2 linked regions of the Arabidopsis thaliana genome follow. The protein of the gene in region 1 interacts with the protein of each later gene in a pairwise test. Each region holds a gene or a part of one and is shown in the gene's direction. Other genes may lie near its edges. The genes, in order: CIPK7 and PUP1.

Region 1 (11,325 bases):
ATATAAAAATTATGTATCTACTTTCGGAAATACAATCGAGGTGACTCATACATGGTTTTAATGCAATAGTCAGCTTATTAAGCGAGTTTGGTCCCTTCGTATAACTTATTGCACTTAATTATATATTGTTGTTGTTGTTGTTGTTGTTGTTTTTTTACCAAAAAATAAAATAAAAAATTATATATTGTTGCTTCTCGTAGAAACTAGTAGAAAGCAAAGACCAAAGTGCCATGATAACGAAATGATTCATAGTCTGTAACATTCTATTTTGACGATACTCGTTCTAAGGAATAAATGAATTTAATTGCATAGCGATGTTTAACGAATATATAATTGTAAAGGAAAAACTAAAAAAGACAAAAATTATTACGAAAACTACTCTTATTGGTGGTGGAGCATACATCCCCCACAGCATCATGCAAGACAACGTAGCTTTCAAAACTTCATACATCGATTTCAAGTATATGTTTTTTCTTTTGTAGATAATTAAATAACAAAGTTGGTGACTCCTATATAGAGAGAAATAATTAACAAGCTTTTAGTTTCAGATGTTATGCTAATATGCTAATGCGAATTACCAGATAACTTACTGAAGATATTACAAAAGTGTATTTGGTTCCATTTTTAATCATATACGTATTATGTAGCAAGTTATTCAATTATTTAGAATTTTTATGGTTTAAGCAAGTAAAATTCCAGTAGTCGGGTCCCATTATGGGAGACTTGAGCTCTCATGCTCACAACATCACCAAAAATGGGAATTCTCAAAAAGAATAAACATCAGCAAAAATGGCATAGCCACTTGGCAAAAGATTATTACAAACTAAAAATTATCTATTTAGCATGCAATGTTTATTCTATTTCTTTTTCTTATTTCAAAATTTGCAGCATTATGATTCACAGATCTAGAATAGAATTGGCCACTTCACAAAGTAATTCCAATTATGAATTAGAAAATCTTATTCATTTCTCTAATATTAAAAAGATTTTGTTAAAAATATATAGGACTCTGCTTTCTTTACCAAATATTTTGTGTATATAATGTATTAATCGAAACACATGGCAAACATACAGGTAGAGCTAATAATATAATCATGTAATATAATATTACTATATCGCTTAGATCTATAATTGGTGGTTCCTTGTTATTTCCGAATATTGTTATTTATATCATGGTGTCGTTTTCATTTTGGGGGTCAAAATCATGTCGTCTTCCACTCGATAATGGATCTCGGAAAATTATTTCTATGAATACTATTTTGGTACTTATTTATATCTTTCGTTTCGGTTTTACCACATCTCTAACATGAAAATAGTTAATTCTTTGACAAAAAAAAATTTTGGTTAATTTAGGGACTGCGAAAAGAGCACGTACCAAAATGTTTTAGATTACAAAAATGGTTGAATTTATGGCCACTATTGAAAAAAATAATTAAAATTCCACAAATCAAGATTTTACGTGAACATTTTGGTTAGGATGTATTAACATACATGTGTACGAAAACCATTTTTAGTCATTTTCAGAAAAATTATGCGTTACGAAATAACTTTATATATCCAATGTAAGAAAATAAAATAAATTTGCCTAACTTGTCCTGTGAATGAATCATTTCAAATGATAATAAAATCCATTTGTTTAATGATGATAATTTATATATCCAATGTACCAATTCATTCATGCGTTACGTTTCACCTTCTTCCACCTTATTTTGATTGCAGATAGAACACCTCTAAACCACATAAAACATATACACACAAAGACTCGACACATAATCGAAATTTTATATAACGAAAAAAAATGTAGAGCTTTAATTTATTATTGAATTTCAAGTTATCGTATGTCTCACGTAATTCGACATATAATTCCATGGGGAGAAATAAGTTTATCACGTCTCTTTGAAAGTTCAATGGTCGTATCGTTTATCTTTTTGTCCCAATAAGCTATCTAACTAATCTAAGTGAATTAAGTCTACTTAAGACAACTCCTACTTAGTTCTCCCCAATTTCTTCAATTAATTAATTTTCCTAATCACATTTCCAACAATTTATGCATGCGTATAAAATACAATTATATATTAATATGTACTAATACAAAATTTTATGATCTAGAACATGTATAAGTTTTCTTTTTTTTTTAGAATATCTAAAAGTTTAAACCCAAAAACTCAAAAACTTTACGTTTTTTAGAGACAGAATCTATACTAAATTAAATTTATTTCTCTAATAGACGTCGAACTCATTATCTCTATATTTGAAAGATTTACCACTGAATCAACATCATATTAGTATTTGTACAATTATATAGAACGATATACATTTTTGCCAACTTTTGAAATTATACTAAATGTCTAACCTTTAAACCAGTTTACTGTACAAATACCTATGTAAAAAGAATTCTGTGTGATATATAATTGTAAATATAATACGCAAAGAGATCGTCAATTTTGAAAAACACTTTAAATAGTAAATATTATATAGAAATTTATCTCCTTAAATTAGATGTCTATATGTTCAGAAAAAATATTGGTATATTTTAAAAATTACAACATGGCATCTGACCTGCTCAGAATTAAAATATTAACTGTAGAAGATATTTTGATACAACATAATCATATATTATTCCACTACCTCCAATAGTCCAAATATATAGCAATAATTTTCTAAAGATACGTATCAAGAATGGTTTAATATGATATCATTGTTACATGCATATGCGTAATTTTTTTCATAGTTAATATATTCTTTGTAATATGGAGCCGACTGATGAATATTGGTGAGTTCTAGTGTGTGACAAAGATGCCATTGTTGACTAGCAAATTCTAAATCTGAGGAGAATAAAATAATTCTAGAAATTGAACTTTTGTTTTTAACACCAAAATCAAAACCAATGGGCCCAATTCTTTGCTGACTTGGCCAAATGAGAGCCGTCCATATGTCAGTCGACAACTGCCAAACAATCTTGACGGTTTGTTAGTTTGGCTCAAAAGCCACCAGTAATCACTGATCAGTTTGGGACTTGAGTAAATGACTTATTTACCCTTAGTTCAATAATACGGTTTTGTGTGATTTAATTTGCTAGTTAAGTTAAACCATATTTAAGGATGGTTTAATTACATTTCAGGTGGAAAAAATTGATGAGAGAATCTAGCTAGAAAAAGATGGACACGTATGGACCGTTGAAAGTAGGAATACAAATTATTTAAGGAATACAATATTTAATTTCAACACCAAGTGTCGAATAGATACAACAATAATAATGATGAACACCAAGATTTATTTTATATTCTCTATTTTGAATATTGATTACTCCAACTTTTTCATGATTTGTTTTTCAGCACTTGAGATTGGAATAGACACACTGTGATATCGACCATAAAATATTTTCTTAGGAATATATCGTTGTGTATAAAGTATAAAGTTAAGTGTAATGCTTTAAACAAGAAAAATAAAAGAGTTGAGATTGTAATCATAGCAAAAGGCTATTTTATAGACCTTTTAGCGGATGGAAAAAAAAAAAAAAAAACACCTTTTAGCTACATGATGTAGCCTACATCATATATAAAAAAGATAATAGAATTATTTAAGAAATGTAATGTGTTATAAATTAATAACCAACACATACACAATAAGATTCATATAAGTTTATGAAATCAAGGTTGTGATATTGTTGTTATTGAGATCCAAAACTTAAAATCCAAAATATCAGAACTTTTGGAGCATTGGATTATATAAAATATATTTTTCTCAATCAAATCTTTTTTTAGTTAACAACTTTAAATTAATCGCAATAGAATTATTCATGAAAAATGTTATTTACATATAACCCAATCCAATGATTTCAAAAGAGATATTATAGAATTTTGTAAAGCATTAAAGATTTAACTACATTTTGTTACATAGACCCATAATCATAAAACCTTTGATTCATAGTTTCATTCTTATAATGGTCTCTTAAGTATGAAGGTGTTGTAGCGGAGACTAGAAATATATATGAGGGTAATGTTTGTCTGTTGAGACACATTTTTACAAGCTATTAAAAAAAATGATTCCAACAATATTTATTGAAAGTAAATGTATTTTATTAGGAGATTTTAAAATTAATGTCATATTCTAAAATGTACAATATATACATTATTTTTTGAAGATTTTACAATAAATTTCAAAGTGAAACTGAAATGATTTTATTAAATTTATATACATAACTCTTTGTGTTTTTTTGACAGTCATATATATAACTCTTAAACACAAGCTTTTACAGAACATCTACAGTTATTTTAGGTGAATAAACACTCCAATTTCAAACAATTTAAATAAATAAATGATAATTATCTGTCAACCCATAAACTTTACATTGTAAGACCATTTTATTTTATTTATTTTGACTATTTATGGATATGTGATATTATTGAGAAAAAAAACACTATTACTAATTGACAGAAAAAATACACTTAATATTTTCTCCTAAATTTTCTCAACGAATTAATTACAAAATAATGTGTATACCAAGTAAAAAGATTCTACTTCTCAGTGACAGCAGAACTAATTTATTCAAGGGTAGTTTCGGAATAATAAAAAAGCAATAAATCTCTTTTTCCTATAAAAGCAAAGAGACACTCACCAAACAACTCGTCCCTGAAACCTCTCTTCAGAAAACTCAGGCACCATTTTCTCCTTCCGCCGCCGCCATGGAATCACTTCCCCAGCCGCAAAACCAATCATCTCCGGCAACAACTCCGGCGAAGATCCTCCTTGGGAAATACGAACTCGGTCGTCGTCTCGGTAGCGGAAGCTTCGCGAAAGTCCATTTAGCTCGATCAATCGAATCCGACGAGCTCGTCGCCGTTAAAATCATCGAGAAGAAGAAAACAATCGAATCCGGTATGGAACCAAGAATAATCAGAGAGATCGATGCGATGCGTCGTCTTCGTCATCATCCAAACATACTCAAGATCCATGAAGTTATGGCAACCAAATCTAAGATCTATCTCGTAATGGAACTCGCTTCCGGTGGTGAACTTTTCTCAAAAGTCCTCCGTCGTGGACGTCTTCCTGAATCAACGGCGCGTCGTTACTTTCAACAACTCGCCTCCGCTCTTCGTTTCTCTCACCAAGACGGTGTCGCTCACCGTGATGTGAAACCTCAGAATCTACTCTTAGATGAGCAAGGTAACCTCAAGGTCTCTGACTTTGGTTTATCAGCTTTACCGGAGCATCTACAAAACGGATTGCTTCACACGGCGTGTGGTACTCCGGCTTATACAGCTCCGGAGGTTATTTCACGGAGGGGATACGACGGAGCAAAAGCTGATGCGTGGTCTTGTGGTGTGATTTTGTTTGTTTTATTGGTTGGCGATGTTCCATTTGATGATTCGAATATCGCTGCGATGTATCGGAAGATTCATCGGAGAGATTATCGGTTTCCGAGCTGGATTTCGAAACAAGCTAAATCGATAATCTATCAGATGTTAGATCCGAATCCAGTAACGAGGATGAGTATTGAAACAGTGATGAAAACGAATTGGTTCAAGAAGTCTCTAGAGACTTCTGAGTTTCATCGTAACGTCTTTGATTCGGAAGTAGAGATGAAATCGAGTGTTAATTCGATTACTGCTTTTGATTTGATCTCGTTATCGTCGGGATTAGATCTTTCTGGATTGTTTGAGGCTAAGAAGAAGAAGGAGAGGAGATTCACGGCGAAGGTTTCGGGTGTTGAAGTGGAGGAGAAGGCGAAGATGATTGGGGAGAAGTTAGGTTATGTAGTGAAGAAGAAGATGATGAAGAAGGAAGGAGAAGTGAAGGTTGTTGGATTAGGGAGAGGAAGAACTGTGATTGTGGTGGAAGCAGTGGAGTTAACGGTGGATGTTGTGGTGGTTGAAGTGAAAGTTGTTGAAGGTGAAGAAGATGATTCACGGTGGTCTGATTTGATTACTGAGCTTGAAGATATAGTTCTTTCATGGCACAATGACATCATGTAAATAGATTGTGACTTTGTGGATTTTAGTCTCTTTTTTGTTTTGTTTCTGTTCAGTTTTGTATAATCCATGAAGAAATCAAAATCTCCCGCTTCATTGTCTTTTTACCAGCAGATACATTACCCTCTCTGCTACCGATTCCATAAGCTTTGATCACTACATGGTACTCAATAATGATTCTCTTATTCGCTCCTTGTCGCTAAGCCCATGGGCTCAACTCAACGCATCTTCAACATCCTCAATATAAAATTCAAAGCCTCAAGAATAGGTGGGGATAATGTATCTTAGACATTTCGTCGAATTGGTGGGTGCTAAAAAAAATTCTTCAGTAAAAGAAAAGGGACGTAAGATAAGGTCCAACAAAAACAAATTATTCATAGGAAGACTTGCCAAGTCAAAAGTCAAGCTCCTCACACTTTTATAAAAACAAGTGAGTTTATGCTCATCACTTACCACAAACAAATTATCTTCCTTTCCCAAAAAAAACGAAATTGAGAGACGATGATTCGAAGCCTATCTTATTGCTTTCTTACCATCTATTTCTTCTTGAGCATTCTTCCATTACCAAACACCATTGCTTGTCCCACACGGTTACTGTGCCGCAGCGACCAAAGAGATGCTCTTTTAGAGGTACAAAAGGAGTTACATGTACCAACAACTACATGGAACAAGAACGTTGACTGTTGTTCTTGGGATGGTGTCACATGTGATGCTATATTGGGAGAGGTGATATCACTACAACTCTATTATAGTACTGCTAACATCTTCGTGAGCTAGTGCTTTCACGTTGCAAACTTCAAGGGGAAATTCCTTCTTCCATTGGAAATCTTTCTCATCTCACATATCTTGATCTTTCGAATAATCAATTAGTAGGTGAAGTTCCCGCTTCAATCGGTAACCTAAACCAACTAGAGTCCATGCGTCTTTGGGATAATGATCTAAAAGGTAATATTCCTACTTCATTTGCCAACTTAACAAAGCTTTCTGAATTGTACCTCTTTGGAAATCAGTTCACGGGTGGGGATACAGTATTAGCCAATTTAACCAGCTTGTCCATTATAGACCTCTCCTTAAATTACTTCAAATCCTCCATTTCCGCTGACCTTAGTGGACTTCACAACTTAGAGCGATTTTCGGTGTATAACAACTCATTTTCCGGACCTTTTCCTTTATCATTGCTCATGATTCCTTCTTTAGTCCATATTGATTTAAGCCAAAACCACTTCGAGGGACCTATTGATTTTAGGAATACCTTTTCATTATCTAGGCTAAGAGTGTTATATGTTGGCTTCAACAATTTAGATGGGCTAATTCCAGAATCTATATCTAAATTAGTCAATCTCGAATATTTAGATGTTAGCCACAACAATTTCGGAGGACAAGTCCCTAGATCAATATCTAAAGTAGTCAACCTCACTAGCGTTGACCTTTCCTATAATAAGTTGGAAGGTCAAGTCCCTGATTTTGTATGGAGATCCTCAAAGTTGGATTATGTGGATCTTTCTTATAATTCTTTCAACTGCTTCGCCAAATCAGTGGAAGTTATCGATGGAGCATCATTAACTATGTTAAATCTTGGTTCAAATTCAGTCGACGGACCATTCCCCAAATGGATATGCAAGGTTAAAGATTTATACGCCTTGGATTTGTCCAACAACCATTTTAATGGTTCCATTCCTCAATGTTTGAAGTATTCCACTTATTTTCATACGTTAAATCTGAGAAACAACAGTCTAAGTGGGGTTCTACCAAATTTATTCATTAAGGACTCTCAGTTGCGATCACTTGACGTTAGCAGCAATAATTTGGTGGGTAAACTTCCAAAATCGTTGATCAACTGCGAGAGGATTGAATTTTTGAATGTGAAAGGAAACAAAATCATGGACACGTTTCCATTTTGGTTGGGATCTCTACCATATTTAAAAGTTCTTATGCTCGGATCAAATGCATTTTATGGTCCCGTCTATAACCCCTCCGCATATTTGGGGTTTCCAAGTATAAGGATCATTGATATATCCAATAACAACTTTGTTGGATCATTGCCACAAGACTATTTTGCCAATTGGCTTGAAATGTCTTTGGTGTGGAGTGGTTCGGACATCCCACAGTTTAAATATATGGGAAACGTTAATTTTAGTACGTATGATTCGATCGATTTGGTGTACAAAGGAGTAGAGACGGATTTTGATCGTATCTTTGAAGGTTTCAATGCTATTGATTTTTCTGGAAACCGATTCTCCGGACATATCCCTGGGTCTATTGGTCTACTGAGCGAACTGCGTCTTCTGAACTTGTCAGGCAATGCATTCACAGGCAATATCCCACCATCCTTGGCGAATATCACAAATCTCGAGTCATTAGACCTATCACGAAATAACTTGTCTGGTGAGATTCCTATAAGTCTTGGAAAACTCTCGTTTTTGTCCAACACCAACTTCTCCTACAATCATCTTGAAGGATTGATTCCACAAAGTACACAGTTTGCAACTCAAAATTGTTCTTCGTTCCTGGGTAATCTTGGACTCTATGGTTTCAGGGAAATTTGTGGAGAAAGCCATCATGTGCCCGTTCCTACTACATCTCAGCAACCCGAGGAACCTTTGTCGGAATCGGAAGACCAATTGCTGAACTGGATAGCAGCTGCGATAGCGTTTGGACCTGGTATGTTTTGTGGATTAGTGATCGGACATATCTTCACTTCATAGTTCATACAAACATGAGTGGTTCATAGCTCGTTAAGCCCATCTCTCTCCCGGTCAAGTTTGTACTACGGTAACTAAGCTCGCTAGTTGTTTTTTCTGTCCTTGTAATTTCCCATTTAGTGGTTGCATTATAATTTATAAACAGTGTCGACGTTATAAGCTGTTATGTTCTCACCATAGTGTGTAACGTGGTCCATGTTTGTATAGTTGCATATGTATCTCTATTATAAATCTTTAATAACATGTCTTGAAATTCATGTTTAATACTATGTCCCATAGCCATCCATTTATCTTTGTGGAAATAGTTTGTCGGCCACAATGTTATTGCCCATACCAGACTTACTAAGAAAGAAGATAAACCTTGACGAGTGGCTTTGCTCTTTCTTCACCTCATGATGACCTATTCTTATAAATTGTGACGTGTGGATTTTAGCTTCTTTATTTTCTTTTTATGTTTTCGTCTGTTCAATTTTGTATAATCATGAAGAAATCATATCTCCCGCGTCATAGTCATTTTAAAGGTTTTTATATACATAGAGACACAGCTAAAAATCTACCAAAACTTTTCAACACTAAAGCTCGTCGACACAATCTCCAATCCCAACAAGAGATGAGAGAGTTGAGATCCATAGCTCTAATCCTCGCTTGATCTCTTTTTTCCTAATTTCTTCGATCTTACGAACAGCTTTTTTCGACATCCCAAGTTTCATCAGAATGGTTCCTAGTGATTTGAACGTTGAGTCATCAGGTTGAATTCCAGATGACACCATCTCTTTGAATGTCTCAACAGCTTCTTTGAATCTCCCGTCTAAAGCGAATAAGCCGAGAACGCTGTTGTAGCTCAACGGATCAGTTAGAATCTTCATCTCTCTCATCTGTTTTGCTATCTGAGTCGCTTCTTCAAACCGACCGTTCTTCTTGTACATACATAACATCATCGCAAAGGTAAACTCGTTTGCTTCTCCTCTCTGTTTCATGCTATCGAATATAGCTTCTGCTTTTCTCACCATCGATCTTTCGCTATACAGGTTGATCATACAGTTTGATGTATATACATCCGGATATTGCGTCTTGTTACACGATTGAAGAAGCTTTCTGTATATTGCTTCAGCTTCATCTAAGTACCCGACTTTGGTGTAGAGCTTAATCAGAGAATTGTATATAACAGAGTTTCCCGGGATTCCAGCTTCTTTCATCGCTTCTACGTAACTCATAGCTTGCTGAACATTTCCAGTATCTGCAAAAGCATTGATCAAGACTCCATATACAACAACATCAGGTTCGATATTGTACTCAACCATCTCTTTATACACTTCCTCTGCCATATTGAGCTGACCGAGTTTCACAAAGCTCGATATCACAGCACAGTATGGTATGCAATCGCTCACATATCCCGTCTCTCTCATTTTCTCCAAGTAGCATCTACCTTTATGAGGCATGTCGGCACTCGCAAGGATCTGGACGAGAGTATTATATGTACACTTATCCGGTGTGACCCCATAACTCATCATGCTCTCAAATAACTCACATGCCTTTTCACAGCTTTTACTAATTCCATACGCTTTGATCATTACATTGTACTCAATAACTGTTCTCTTATTCACTTCTTGGCAGCAGATAAACACTCTCTCAGCTTCTGATAAATATCCACGCTCACCATATGCATCGATGTTGGCTGAATAGCCTTCAGAACTCATATTACCCGCAACATGAAACCTTTTGAACCATGACCATGATTTCTCAAGCATCTCTGCTTCTACATACATTCTAGTGAGAGCAGATTGTGTATACTCATCTATCTCAACATTATCATCATCCATCTCAGCTATAAGCCCTTCAGCTTCCTCAACCATATGTCTAATCGAGAATGCATATAGGAGAGTGCGGTAACTTACAGGATCCGGTTTAAGCCCATCGTCTTTCATTTCCTTGAAGTAGGCTCCTGCCCTTTCTATATCGTTGTTCTTCGTGTGAAGTGAAATCAGAATGTTATACGTTCTTGTATCAGGTGCACAATGAAGCTTCATTGTTTTCATCAAAGAAGTGACTTCACCAAGCTGACCATTATTGCCATAAATATGAATCATGGTATTAAAAGTCACTGTGGTTGGAACAATCCCTTCTTCTAGCATCCTCTTAAACGTCTCTGAAGCTTCTTTTATCTGACCGGACTTACCATACGTATCAATCATCGTGTTGTAAGTATAAGAGCTCAAGCAAACATGTGAATCCGCCTTGTTTTCGTCACACGACCATTTCTTGAAAAACTCCTCTGCTTTTTGAAACTCTCTTGCCTTCTTATACATTTGAAGAACAATCCCTGTTGTTACTTCATCAGGCTGCATCCCAATCTTACTCATCTTCCCTAACCAACAAAGCGCATGTACTTTAAGCCCGCCTTTGCTATAAACATCGATGAGAGTCCCATACGTCGAATTAATCGGCTTGATACCTTTCCTAATCATTTCATCCCATAAACTCTGTACATACCTCCACTTACAAGCTTTCCCAAGTATCCTGAGCATGATATTATAATGAATCACATTCAATTCATAGCAACCTTTACTCTTAAACCATTCGAATATCTCCACCGCTCTCTCCCAATGTATCTGCTCCTTTAATATAATCGTTCTCTCCTTGTTACTAAGCCT
Region 2 (12,313 bases), on another chromosome or scaffold:
TCCTACTATATTATTTGGGAAGTACATTTTAAATGTAACCTTAATTTTTGTAAGTAATTACATAGGTATGCCATTAGAAATAAAATTTAAAGAGTAAATTAATTTATCTCTTTAAGTCAAATACTAATTTAATTAATTAAATTTAATTAAAAAACGAAATACATTATTAATTTCCAAAAATAATAACCAATCAAAATTAACATATAAGATTTGATATATAAATTTCAATTAATTTAATTTAATTAGAAAAAACAAAATACATTATTAATTTCCGAAAAAGTAACCAATTAAAATCAACAAAGTAGATTTGATATCTAAATTATCATATTAATTTTTTATTAATTATTATAGTTCACTTCTCATCTTTATATGATTCTATTTTTTTGAAAAAATAAAATCATCATTATAAAAAAAGAATTAGATTTTTCGCATATGCCATAATTTGAATTTTTAAAAACGAATATAAATTGTTCAATACATGAAAAAATATTATAACGGGTGAAAAATAGATTTAAAAAAACTTTCTACTGAGTAACATGTCATAATTTGAAATATTTATATTCAATTTCATACATATTATATTGAAAATTTATAATCTTATATACTACAATAATTAATAACATATTAGATTTTTTTATGTGTATGATGTGATTCAATTTTTAATACAAGGTGGAAAATCCTATAATTTACGGGTTTAGATCGATATTAATACAAGATGGTATACTACAGGTAAAACTCTTAAATTAACAATCAAACTATAAATGTATAATCTTAAACACTAAACAATATAGATAATATCAACAAAACATATACAACTCACAGTTTACTATACATTTATAATCAAATAAAATAATATCAAATATTTTTAAATCATCTTTACAGTAAAAGTTTTTAGTTTAACTAAAATATAAGCGTACATGCGGTATACTGCAGGTTAATATCTAGATTATAGGGCTTATTGGATCTAAAAACGGGTCATCAAAGATTTCCTAAACTGAAGCAAAATATTCTGAATATTCGAATATCTATCTGTTACCAAATTATAAACAAATAAGTTCGTAAAACAATTTAATAATTTTATATACGAAATCAATTAAATCTTAATCACATAAAAATTAGCACAAAAAAAATATTCAACAATTAAAAAATTATCAAATCTCTGTGTTATATAAGTTTTGATACTATATTTGAATAAAGTGTAATATACCTTTTTAATTTGTATTCTTTAACTAATAAAAACTAACTAATATATTTGCTAATCTTATACCTATCAAAACCGACTATCGTTTATTATCTCTATAATATTTTTACAAGACTTTTTTTTGGTGGATTTAAGTAAAAGTGCATTCGGGTTATAAGGTACATTCCCGTAATAAATAAATATAGTGCACTCCTATGTTATTAGCTAAAATGTTTAGATTATAATTCATAGTCATATCATTAATAAAATAAATGGCTTTTTTGTAAGACGGATTTGGAGGGACGGGTTTTTGAATAAACATTAATAAAAAAGTAAAATATAATTAATCCACCGTTTCAATACGGGTTAAATCTTTAATTTATTATTTTTTAAGACCACTGATATTAAACATATCAAATCATCCAAATTTAGAAAAGATTATATAAAACCAAAAATGTTATGTGGTATGTATAATGTTACTATATATAAAATTAAATTATAAAATATAAATGTATTAGAGAATGATACAATTTGCAAAACTTTTATATATAAAAAATAATTCTTAAAATTTTAAAATTACTACTTTAAAATTATCACGGGACGGGTAAAGAAATTACAGAACAGATTTTATTTTGGAATTGGGTTATATGGTGGATGTATTTGAATCAATATTTAAAAAATTTTAAAATATTATTAATATGCTGTTTTAATAGGGGTTAAAACTTCAGTTTTTTAACAATTGTCTCATTGATTCGTGATATAGCGTTACTTAACAACAATTATAAACTGTAAAATGTAAATATTTTATAAAAATAAAATTTGCAACTTTTAATATATATTACTTTTACAAAATAAATCGTTCCGCGGTATACCGCGGGTTAAAATCTAATTTGTTGATGTATTTAGTATCCTAGCGGGTAGAAACCTTGTTAAATATAGTGGTGTAGAAACCATAAATTGAATCACTTCTTTCAAGCCAACGACTGACTACGCGAGTTCAACAATGGAGCTATAAAAACAAAACAACTAGTTGCAACAAATAATAATCAAGTCTACAAACAAAATAGCTTAAGTCAGCATTCCATGTATTAAAGCATATGACAAAATGATTGATTACAATAGTCCGTAAACGAAGACAAATGGATACTAAAGATAAATTTCTAATCAAGATAACTTTTCTATAACAATATCCTCATCTAAAGATAAAACCAAGTATAAAGATATTTCTCTTAAATCACGTCTGTTTTTTCTTCTCGAAATTTTGTTTTCTTGCTTTTTATACACACAACGAAAATTTAGCGTAACACAGAGAGACGATTTGTTTTTTTCTATCTCCACAATTCAACTCTTTCTTTTGTCATACTCAATGTATGTAGAGCAGAAAATAACACGTCTCTTTTTTTATCACGATAAAACAAAGGACCATCCTTAGTTGGAAATTCAAACCCTAGTAGTAAGTATAACGTTTTAAAATCGCAAACGCGCCCGCTATGTTATGTCCCACCGTTTTAATTTCCCAACTTCCTTGACAATGTATCACACGATCCAAAACCACAAACAAACAAAACACACACAAAATGAAAAACATATAATTGCTCATTGACCCCTCAAGCTGATGAGAAATATCATCAAAAAGGCCAAAACAGAGGACAACAAAAACAGCAAGCAGCAAGAAGAAGATGAAGAATGGTTTGATAATCATAAACTGTATTATCCTCACTATAGGAACATGTGGAGGTCCTTTGTTAACTCGTCTCTACTTCACCAATGGCGGAAAACGAATCTGGTTCATGAGCTTCCTATCAACCGCTGGTTTTCCAATCATCCTCATCCCTCTCTTGGTCTCCTTCCTCAGCCGTCGCCGCAGCAACCGCAACCCTAACAACGCGGAAAACAAGCGGAAAACAAAGCTCTTCCTCATGGAAACTCCTCTGTTTATCGCCTCCATTGTCATAGGGTTGCTCACAGGACTTGACAACTACTTATATTCTTACGGATTAGCATATCTGCCAGTTTCAACTTCATCGCTCATAATCGGAACTCAACTAGCTTTCAACGCTCTCTTCGCTTTCTTGTTAGTCAAGCAAAAGTTCACTCCGTTCTCCATAAACGCCGTCGTTTTGTTGACGGTTGGTATCGGGATCCTTGCGTTACACAGTGATGGAGACAAACCGGCTAAGGAGAGCAAGAAAGAGTATGTGGTTGGGTTCTTGATGACTGTGGTTGCAGCTCTTCTCTATGCTTTTATATTACCGCTCGTTGAGCTAACTTACAAGAAAGCTCGTCAAGAAATCACTTTCCCACTTGTGCTTGAGATTCAGATGGTCATGTGCCTTGCTGCTACTTTTTTCTGTGTCATTGGCATGTTCATCGTTGGAGATTTTAAGGTAAGAAATTTACAGTTTTTTTCACGTTGTGTTTTTAGTATAAGAGAGAGTATCATGGGATGATCTTGATAAAAAAAATATTATGCAGATTTTGATGAAGACTTTAGCTGAGTTTTTGGATTCTCTATTTTTAATGTTTTTCTAAATTATATAGTTTTTTTGTTCATTTTATGATAGAGGCCAAAATTTAGTCTGGATTCCCAAGAAATGAGGAATACTAAGATTTGTTCTTTTGTATTATTAATGGAGAAAATCCATGGAAACAATTATATATATAGAAATTATTTCAGAATCATTGGTACTAGACTATACTAGTCAACCAAGATATATTGGTATCTGTATTTAAACATTTTCTAAATACATATGGATATTATAGAATATTTAACAATTTTAATATAGATTTCCTGGTTATAATAAAATATGTGATTTTATGTAATATTTGTCTTCCTGATCTTTTATTAAAAACAAATATTATATAAAATACAAGATAAAGGTTTGAGCAATTTATAAAATATTTAACAATTTCAATAAGGTTTTATGTAATACTAGGTAATCACCCGCGCTACGCTGCGGTATTTTCAGATTTTTTGTATCGTATAATTTAAATATAATTTTTAATTATCTAATCATTTACTTATGTAATAAGTAATTATTCTTAGTATTAAAATATATTTTTTCTAACAACATTCTCAACAATGCATTATACACACAATTCCTAAACAATGTTCATCTTAAACTAATTAAATAGAGGGTAATACTGGAATTCTCGAAACCTAAGAATTTGATGATTAAATTTCTTACATACTCTTCACCCTCGGCGATTTATTATATAGATATATAACAATATGCAAACTATTCAAACTATTAACTAATCCATGACTACTATACACTCATAATTTGAGTTAAGATTACAGAAAAAAATCTTCTGAGTATGAGAAAACCAATAAAATTATTTTATTGAACAACATGTAATAACAAAATAAATTTAGTATTAGTACAATTAAATATGTAAAATTAAATAATAAATACATCATTAATCTATAAATTAAAAGTTGAAAGCTTACATTAATTATTATGTGGACACATGGCACATGTTAAAGTGATGATGTGTCAATCATATGGAGAGAGTTGGCCAACTTTCATATATATGATTTGTCTTCCTTATCTTTTATTAGAAACATTATTTAAAAATTGTTCAAACCTTTATCCTGTATTTCCATATCTATTTAAAATTATGATTAAACTTGAGAATCAACTAAAATCATCATCATACATGTTTTGTAGGTGATAGCAAGAGAAGCAAGAGAGTTCAAGATTGGAGGATCAGTGTTTTACTATGCATTGATAGTGATCACAGGAATAATATGGCAAGGTTTCTTCTTAGGAGCCATAGGGATTGTGTTTTGTGCATCATCACTAGCTTCTGGTGTTCTGATAAGTGTTCTGCTTCCGGTGACTGAAGTTTTCGCCGTCGTTTGTTTCCGGGAGAAGTTTCAGGCAGAGAAAGGTGTCTCTCTACTTCTTTCTCTTTGGGGATTTGTCTCTTACTTCTACGGCGAGTTTAAATCCGGCAAGAAAGTTGTTGATAAACCTCAACCGCCGGAGACAGAACTGCCTATTCTTCCTGTTAGTGATTATGTTGCTTAATTTCTATAACTCTATAGGATTATAACAGAGCATTACTGTTATGTTTTGTTCCTAATATTATGTGTGATTGTGTGTTTTGTTATTGTTCTTGTGTATAAGTATGAATAAATTTGAAAGATATTGAGCTATTTGATAAATGCAAATTTTAATACACTTGTAGTAGAAATAGAATGATAATGATAAGTAAAAGATAGGATATTTCGTATTTGATAAAATCACATCCTATTTATCGATTTTATAAAATAAACATTTCACACTTTTAATTTAAGATTAATATAATTTATCTATTTAATATAAAAATTTGTATATAAATCAAAGAACTAATATAGAAAGAAGAAGAGAAAACAAAAGAGATAGAGTCAAAGAACCAATTAACCATCCTTAAAATCTTCTAATTATAGAGAGAATTATGAACTGAAAATCTTAATGTCATTGCACTAAATTTAGAAAGAAATAAATCCAATAATCAAAACTGTAGAATTTGATGGAAACGTAAATTAATATGAGAGATATGATATTATCTGGTCTATAAGATAATTACTACGTTTTTTATACGAAATTAAACAGTTAGCAAAATTTATGGGTATAAAATAGGAAAAGTCATGTTTTAGCCATTGAAGCCTCGTTAGGTAAAAAGAAACACAAAGATCTATCACGACAGAATCTAAAACCGGACCAAATTTGTTCCAAAACACAGCAACACCAAACCTTATAACTAACTCCTTCGACCACCAACCTTCATTATCCACAAGAAATCAGACAAGAATGGTGAAGGCTCTTGTGATCATAAACTGCATAATTCTAGCCATAGGAAACTGTGGAGGTCCTTTGATTATGCGTCTCTACTTCAACAATGGCGGTAAAAGGATTTGGTTCTCTACGTTTCTTGAAACTGCAGGCTTTCCTGTTATCTTCATTCCTCTGCTCTTCTCTTACATTACCCGGCGCAGAAGCAACAATGTGGGTGATAGTACAAGTTTCTTTCTTATCAAACCGCGTCTTCTTATCGCCGCTGTTATTGTAGGCATTCTCTCAGGGTTTGATAACTACTTGTATGCATATGGTATAGCTTATCTTCCAGTTTCTACAGCTGCTCTTATCATTGCTTCACAGTTAGCTTTTATAGCTATCTTCTCATTCTTCATGGTTAAACATAAGTTCACTCCTTTTACCATCAATGCTGTTGTGTTGTTGACTGTTGGTGCTGCGGTTTTGGGAATGCATACCGAAACTGATAAGCCAGTTCATGAGACTCACAAGCAGTACATAACTGGTTTCTTGATTACTGTAGCAGCAGCTGTTATGTATGCTTTCATCTTGCCATTAGTGGAACTTGCTTACCAGAAAGCTAAGCAAACCATGAGCTATACCCTTGTGCTCGAGTTCCAGTTGATTTTGTGTCTCCTTGCTTCTATTGTCAGCGTCATCGGTATGTTCATCGCTGGTGATTTCAAGGTTAGTCACTCTTTTGAATCTGAAAACATACAAAAGAGTTTTTAACAGAGACTTGAGCCCTTTACTGTTTTTGCAGGCCTTACCAAAAGAAGCAAGAGAGTTCAAGCTTGGAGAGGCATTGTTCTATGTGGTGGCTGTGTTTTCAGCCATCATATGGCAAGGCTTCTTCTTGGGAGCCATTGGATTAATCTTCTCCACATCGTCTCTCGTCTCGGGTATTATGATATCAGTGCTTTTGCCAATTACAGAGGTTTTAGCTGTTATATTCTACCATGAAAAGTTTCAAGCTGAGAAGGGACTTTCTCTTGCTCTCTCCCTTTGGGGCTTTGTCTCTTACTTTTATGGTGAGATAAAGTCTGGCGAGGATAAAAGGAGAATTCAGCAGGAGGAGAGTCAGGAGACAGAACAATCTTCTTTGTCAAGACCCATAAGTGAGTGTTAAAACTCAACGAAGCATGGCTTTTCGTTTAAAGACATCATAGCACTCATTTCTCCGCCAAGTAGATTAGAAGATATGTTTGAGAAACTTGTGGGATTATGCCGAAAACACAATCTTAAAGGACTTTTTTTTTTCTTTTCTTTATTTCAGCTTAACTTGTTTGATGTCTCTTATTATTCACATCAAATGAGTTTGTAATAGAATTATGAGGTCAAACAATGACACTCTCTGTTATGCTGGTGAGCTTTTTGTTCTACCAGCAATAGATGAAATTAGTCTTCATTTGTCTTCTGTTGAATGCTTTTATCTTTCATCTCTCGTGGTGGCTTCATCCCATTAACCTGCTCAACAATAGCGCCAGCAGCACCATTAACGAGAAGTCGCGGATGATCTGAGGACCCGTTAGATTCCACCTGTAAGTTCAACCAGTAGAGAGCTTCTGGTAAAGCCTGTTTGGTTCATATTCATGATTCTTCATTACTATAAGGAACAATCGCTAGTGAGGAAATAACATTCAGTTGAATCAAAATGTAAAGAAAAAGCCCCAACAGACATTTTGGCTTTCTTACACTGTTTCCCTTAGAGCTTCTAGTTATTTCTTATAAGAGAACCTAGGTATCTCATTTTTCAATTATGTCTTGTTGTTATCTACATATCCGCCTTTTCTAACTCTTATTTCTAAGCAGGCCTAGAAAATGTACCAGTAATGTATAAGCATCACTAATTCTTCTATTGTAACCAACTACATTCCTTTGAGGTGAATTATACCAGATGTCCATTTACGTCTAACCATCTAATATTACACACAATATGCTGTTATAAACACAATAATAAAATTTACTTACCAACTTCCTTCAGCAGAGTCGCTCAACTCATTGTTGATTTCTTCCTTTGCAAACTCTTCCAGTATAGCACGCTGACGTTCATTCACTTCACTAGTAGATACAAGGAAAAAAGTAAACCGCATAAGCATATACCAGAAATCTATCAATATTAGCTCTTGACGGAAATGAAAAGAAGAGAATCCAACACATCCACATGCCACCAGAACATCAAGAAGCTTATGTAATCAGATTTAATAATCAGACGGCAGGGAAATTAACACAATGTTGTCCTAGGAAAATTATTTCAAAAACCGTAACTTTAGAGCAACAAAGTGTCTTTTCCATTCTAAACACTAGTAGAGTTTTTAGCATAGCATAATGTGGATGTCTCCAACAAGTGTATTACTTGAACTTCAAGTAAAAGAAATCTTACGTAGGAAAGTTAACGCGGAAGCGAACATACTGATCTCCATGATCTACAAAAAAGCCTTGCTTCGGTAGTCCTGCAGGAACTAACCTATTAAGAAGAGTACACGCAAATACACAAAAAAAATTGAACATATAGGCTGATAATTATATGTACCTTTGCCTCTTAAAACAAGAAGTTGATCAGGCTGAGTCCCCTTTGGTATCTGCAACAATTACAATAAGGTACCTCTATTATCTCCAAAGCCTTGAGATCTAACCTTCCTCTTGGTCAGAGGATGAAAACCAACTTGACTCAAATTATAAACAAACAAAATATTATATGAATCTCACTGGGAGACGAATCTTACATCTAGCTGTATCTTGCCTGAAAGTGTTGGCACCACAACTTTGCCCCCCAAAATAGCCTGTCAAATAAGTTTTCTAAGACATGTCCAGTATGGCTCAAGGGAGAAATAGTAGGAACAACGTGAACCATAAGAGATGAAAGGATGCACTATAATAGAAAAATACTGCAGCCGAGGTACTATGGCTTGGTGGCAAAATAGTGCAGTAGCATGCACTTGAGTTTTATGACTGGGGCCATCAAATTGAGTTTGAACCGATATGCCACATTATCTAGTTTAGAGAATAAGCGCATCATATACATAATGATAAAGATGCTACTAGCTAATATTATTAAACCTAGTAGTTTAGTAAACTTTTGGCACATAAACCAGTTGAATAGGACAAAACTCATTAATTTTCAGCTAGACTCCAGATAACTTTTCTCTAGTTTATGTCCTCTAAGAGGTTTTATTTTATCATAGGACATGCCTAAATTATGTTACTGCAGAGCTTTATCAGCTAGCAGTTAAGGCTTTTGAGTTTTGACCACAAAGTGTCACCATGCAGAAAAAACATGAGTTTCGAAGGTACTGCTCTGCTTATAACCCAAAATTCAGGATTCACCAGTGTGCTTACTTGTGTAAAGCTAATATTAGCATCCACATATATATCTGAGCCATCCCTAGTGAAAGTTGAATCATTAGCAACCTGTGACCAAAAGAAGATTAGATACGTGTCAATAAAGGAAAATTCAGCATGCAGTAAGACCCTAAATGAGGCAAGAATGATGATAGAATTGAAGAATACTTTACAAGAGAGCATGAACAATTGATTCACTGGATGTAATAAGTCTTGATTATATAGTGACGCAACAAACAAAGTAGAGTAGCAATCACATATAAATCTGTGAACATTGGTTTAGATCATTTTTGAAATGAATTCGTTCAAAGTCAATATATGACTTATAACATGACTTTGCCACTTATATTAACTGTTTTATCTCTTAGGTTAAATTGATCAATGGACTTAAATGGTAGACCAATCATCAACGTCAAGGGTGAGTTTGATTCAAACTTCTCTAGGCACGTCTTACAAAATATACAAGTACAAATTTGAAGAAAATACAGATGCTTTAACAAACCTTTAGTTTGATATACAAGTTCCCAGGTTGACTTGTTCTTGAACTTACATTACCAGCACCTACGATTGTGATTGTAGCTTCAGACTCCACCCCTGTGGTCAAGTACAGAGAGAAGAAAGCAAATTAAAGTTTGACAGAATTTTGTCATCAAAAACCTATTTCACTATCTAATCCACCAAAGTCATGTAAGATGATAATCGGAAATCACAATCCCAAATTCATTGTTTCATCTTTGCCCCAAAATACCAAGCACAGAATTAACCAGAAAATGTAAATTGCCAAGCATAATCTTAGAAAAGAAAAAGAAAAGCCAGTCAAACAATAAGTGTGACCGATATCTAAATTGGATTACATCTAAACCACACAAATCCTCAAAGAAAGGAACGTAACAGAGTGAATGAAATCTTGCTACTCGTTCCATAGCAGACAGACATGTTTGGAATCAAAACCAAGTTAAAGATAAACAAAAGCATGAAGATTTAGACTAACCTCCAGGGATCACAAGTTCAGCTGTCTTTGTGCCTTCCACAATACCTGATCCTCTACAAGACATGCAGTATTCCTGAAGAAATAAACACATATATACTCGTAACCAGTGCCAGAGAGATAACTACTGAAGCGTCAATAAAGTAGCTCTTTTTCTCAAACCTTAATAATGTGTCCCGTCCCCTTGCACGTCTGGCATGATGCTGTAAAAGGAGGAATAGTTACCTGTTAAAGAGACAGACAGCATAGTACTGTAAATAGAAATTGTATGATTTATTAACCCTCCAAAGAAAATAAAACTTATATCCTCTAAATGGTACTTACTCGTCCAACCCCCCTGCATGTTGGACAAATGCTCATGGCAGCATCGCTAGGGTGGCCAAGCCCATCTGTAAAATGATAAACAATGCGAGATTGGGATTCATGGTTTTGCAACAATATTACTTTCACCCAACTGAGTTTACTCGTCCTCTCAAAGTTGGCTGAATCAGTAACTTTTTAAAGACAGAAGGCTGTAAATGTTACAAGAATAAAATTAAAAAAAGAAAAAAAAAAAAGAGACAACAAACTGTAGATACATGTACATTAACATCGATGGATCACAGAGCCATTTCCAGAAGTCTATTCTTCGTTAAGAAAAATATTTTACCATTTTGGGCAACTGAATAATAATGTACCATGACGAGTTAGGACTCCTAATTTAAAGTGTCTATACTCTCAAGTATCTTTACAGGAAATCTTGCGAGCCATGACTGGCTTGTCAATATTAGTAAATGCAAAAGAGACAATATAAGAAAACTTCTGTGGCCACTCACCACAGGAATCACAAAAGACATATGCATCAAAAGACAAACGTTTTGTGCACCCTTCTGCAGCTTCGGAAAGAGAAAGCGACAGTTCCACCTATTCAATTTTTAACAATATAAACATGTGTATTACTGAAGAGCCCTACACAACAAGATTTATATAAGTCAACCAGATTCCAGTTGTATAAATAAAAGAGAGAATCAGAGAAACTGACCCGAATATCAGGTTTTATCTGATTGTTCTCAAATATCTGAATAAAGTTTACTAATGTTAGAGATTTAACTAATCACATAAAAAGATGAGCAAAAGGGAAACATAATAATGTACCTCAGAAAAAATCTTGTGGAAAGTATCCGAGAAATTGGACTGGTATGCACGTCTGAACCTCTCTGAATCACCACCGTCATTATTTACATAATCCGAATTCCGATACTGCAGCTGGATCGAGTGATAACATCAAGAAATATATTTAGTGATCTCGCCACCAGATAAATAAGAATAAAAACAACAAAAAAGCGTACCTTATCATATTCTTCTCTTCTTTCCGAATTTCCCAGGGTCTACAGTTTTTTAATCCAACACAAAAGTATATCAGAAGATACATTCAAAATACACAGATGATGGCAGATGGAAAAGAAAAAACTACCTCATATGCCTCTCTTATTTCCTGGAACTTCCTTTTTGCTGACGGATTATTTCTATTTGTATCAGGGTGGAATTTTTTCGCAAGCTGCAACAATTGTGCATTCACTCATCAATTTTGAGCAGACAACTTTTACTAATAGTTTTTGCTTGATGTAAAAAAATGTTTAAAGCTGAAGAACAGTCCACTAACAATGAGCCGAAAGACTCACCTCATGAAATGATTTTTTAATCTCCTCCCGTGTAGCTTTAGGAGAAACACCGAGAACATCATAGTAATTACGAGCACTGGAGTTGTTTATACCTGAGAACCATTATCCAAAACCAAAAGCATTTAATGAATAAAATGATACAAAACATCATTTTATTCATTAGCGTGAATGCAAAAAAACAAGACCTGTAGCGTGAATGTATCGCTCGAACAACGGCTTCTGAGACCCTGCAAAGAGTCAAAACTTCCAAGTAATGAATGCATATTTCCTATAGTCTGTAGATAAACACAAACATCAACTGGAAATTCCCTCATGCCCCTAATGTTAGCTACCACGGAGA

What was found.
Region 2: the proteins of CIPK7 (region 1) and PUP1 interact in a protein complementation assay, tested with the Arabidopsis thaliana proteins (one large-scale study listed by BioGRID).

Annotation. Positions count from the first base shown.
Region 1 is NC_003074.8:8,167,969-8,179,293, forward strand, and holds CIPK7 (CBL-interacting protein kinase 7), read left to right. Parts: upstream 1-4,510; 5' UTR 4,511-4,685; coding exon 4,686-5,975; 3' UTR 5,976-6,174; downstream 6,175-11,325. Other genes in the region: RLP36 (receptor like protein 36), read left to right, coding at 6,890-8,677; AT3G23020 (Tetratricopeptide repeat (TPR)-like superfamily protein), read right to left, coding at 9,247-11,325. UniProt on the Arabidopsis thaliana protein: CIPK serine-threonine protein kinases interact with CBL proteins. Binding of a CBL protein to the regulatory NAF domain of CIPK protein lead to the activation of the kinase in a calcium-dependent manner.
Region 2 is NC_003070.9:9,855,101-9,867,413, reverse strand, and holds PUP1 (purine permease 1), read left to right. Parts: upstream 1-2,634; 5' UTR 2,635-2,859; coding exon 2,860-3,567; intron 3,568-4,851; coding exon 4,852-5,214; 3' UTR 5,215-5,373; downstream 5,374-12,313. Other genes in the region: PUP3 (purine permease 3), read left to right, coding at 5,980-6,669, 6,746-7,111; ATJ1 (DNAJ heat shock family protein), read right to left, coding at 7,437-7,521, 7,954-8,043, 8,366-8,435, 8,516-8,564, 8,709-8,765, 9,322-9,393, 9,827-9,918, 10,316-10,388 and 9 more.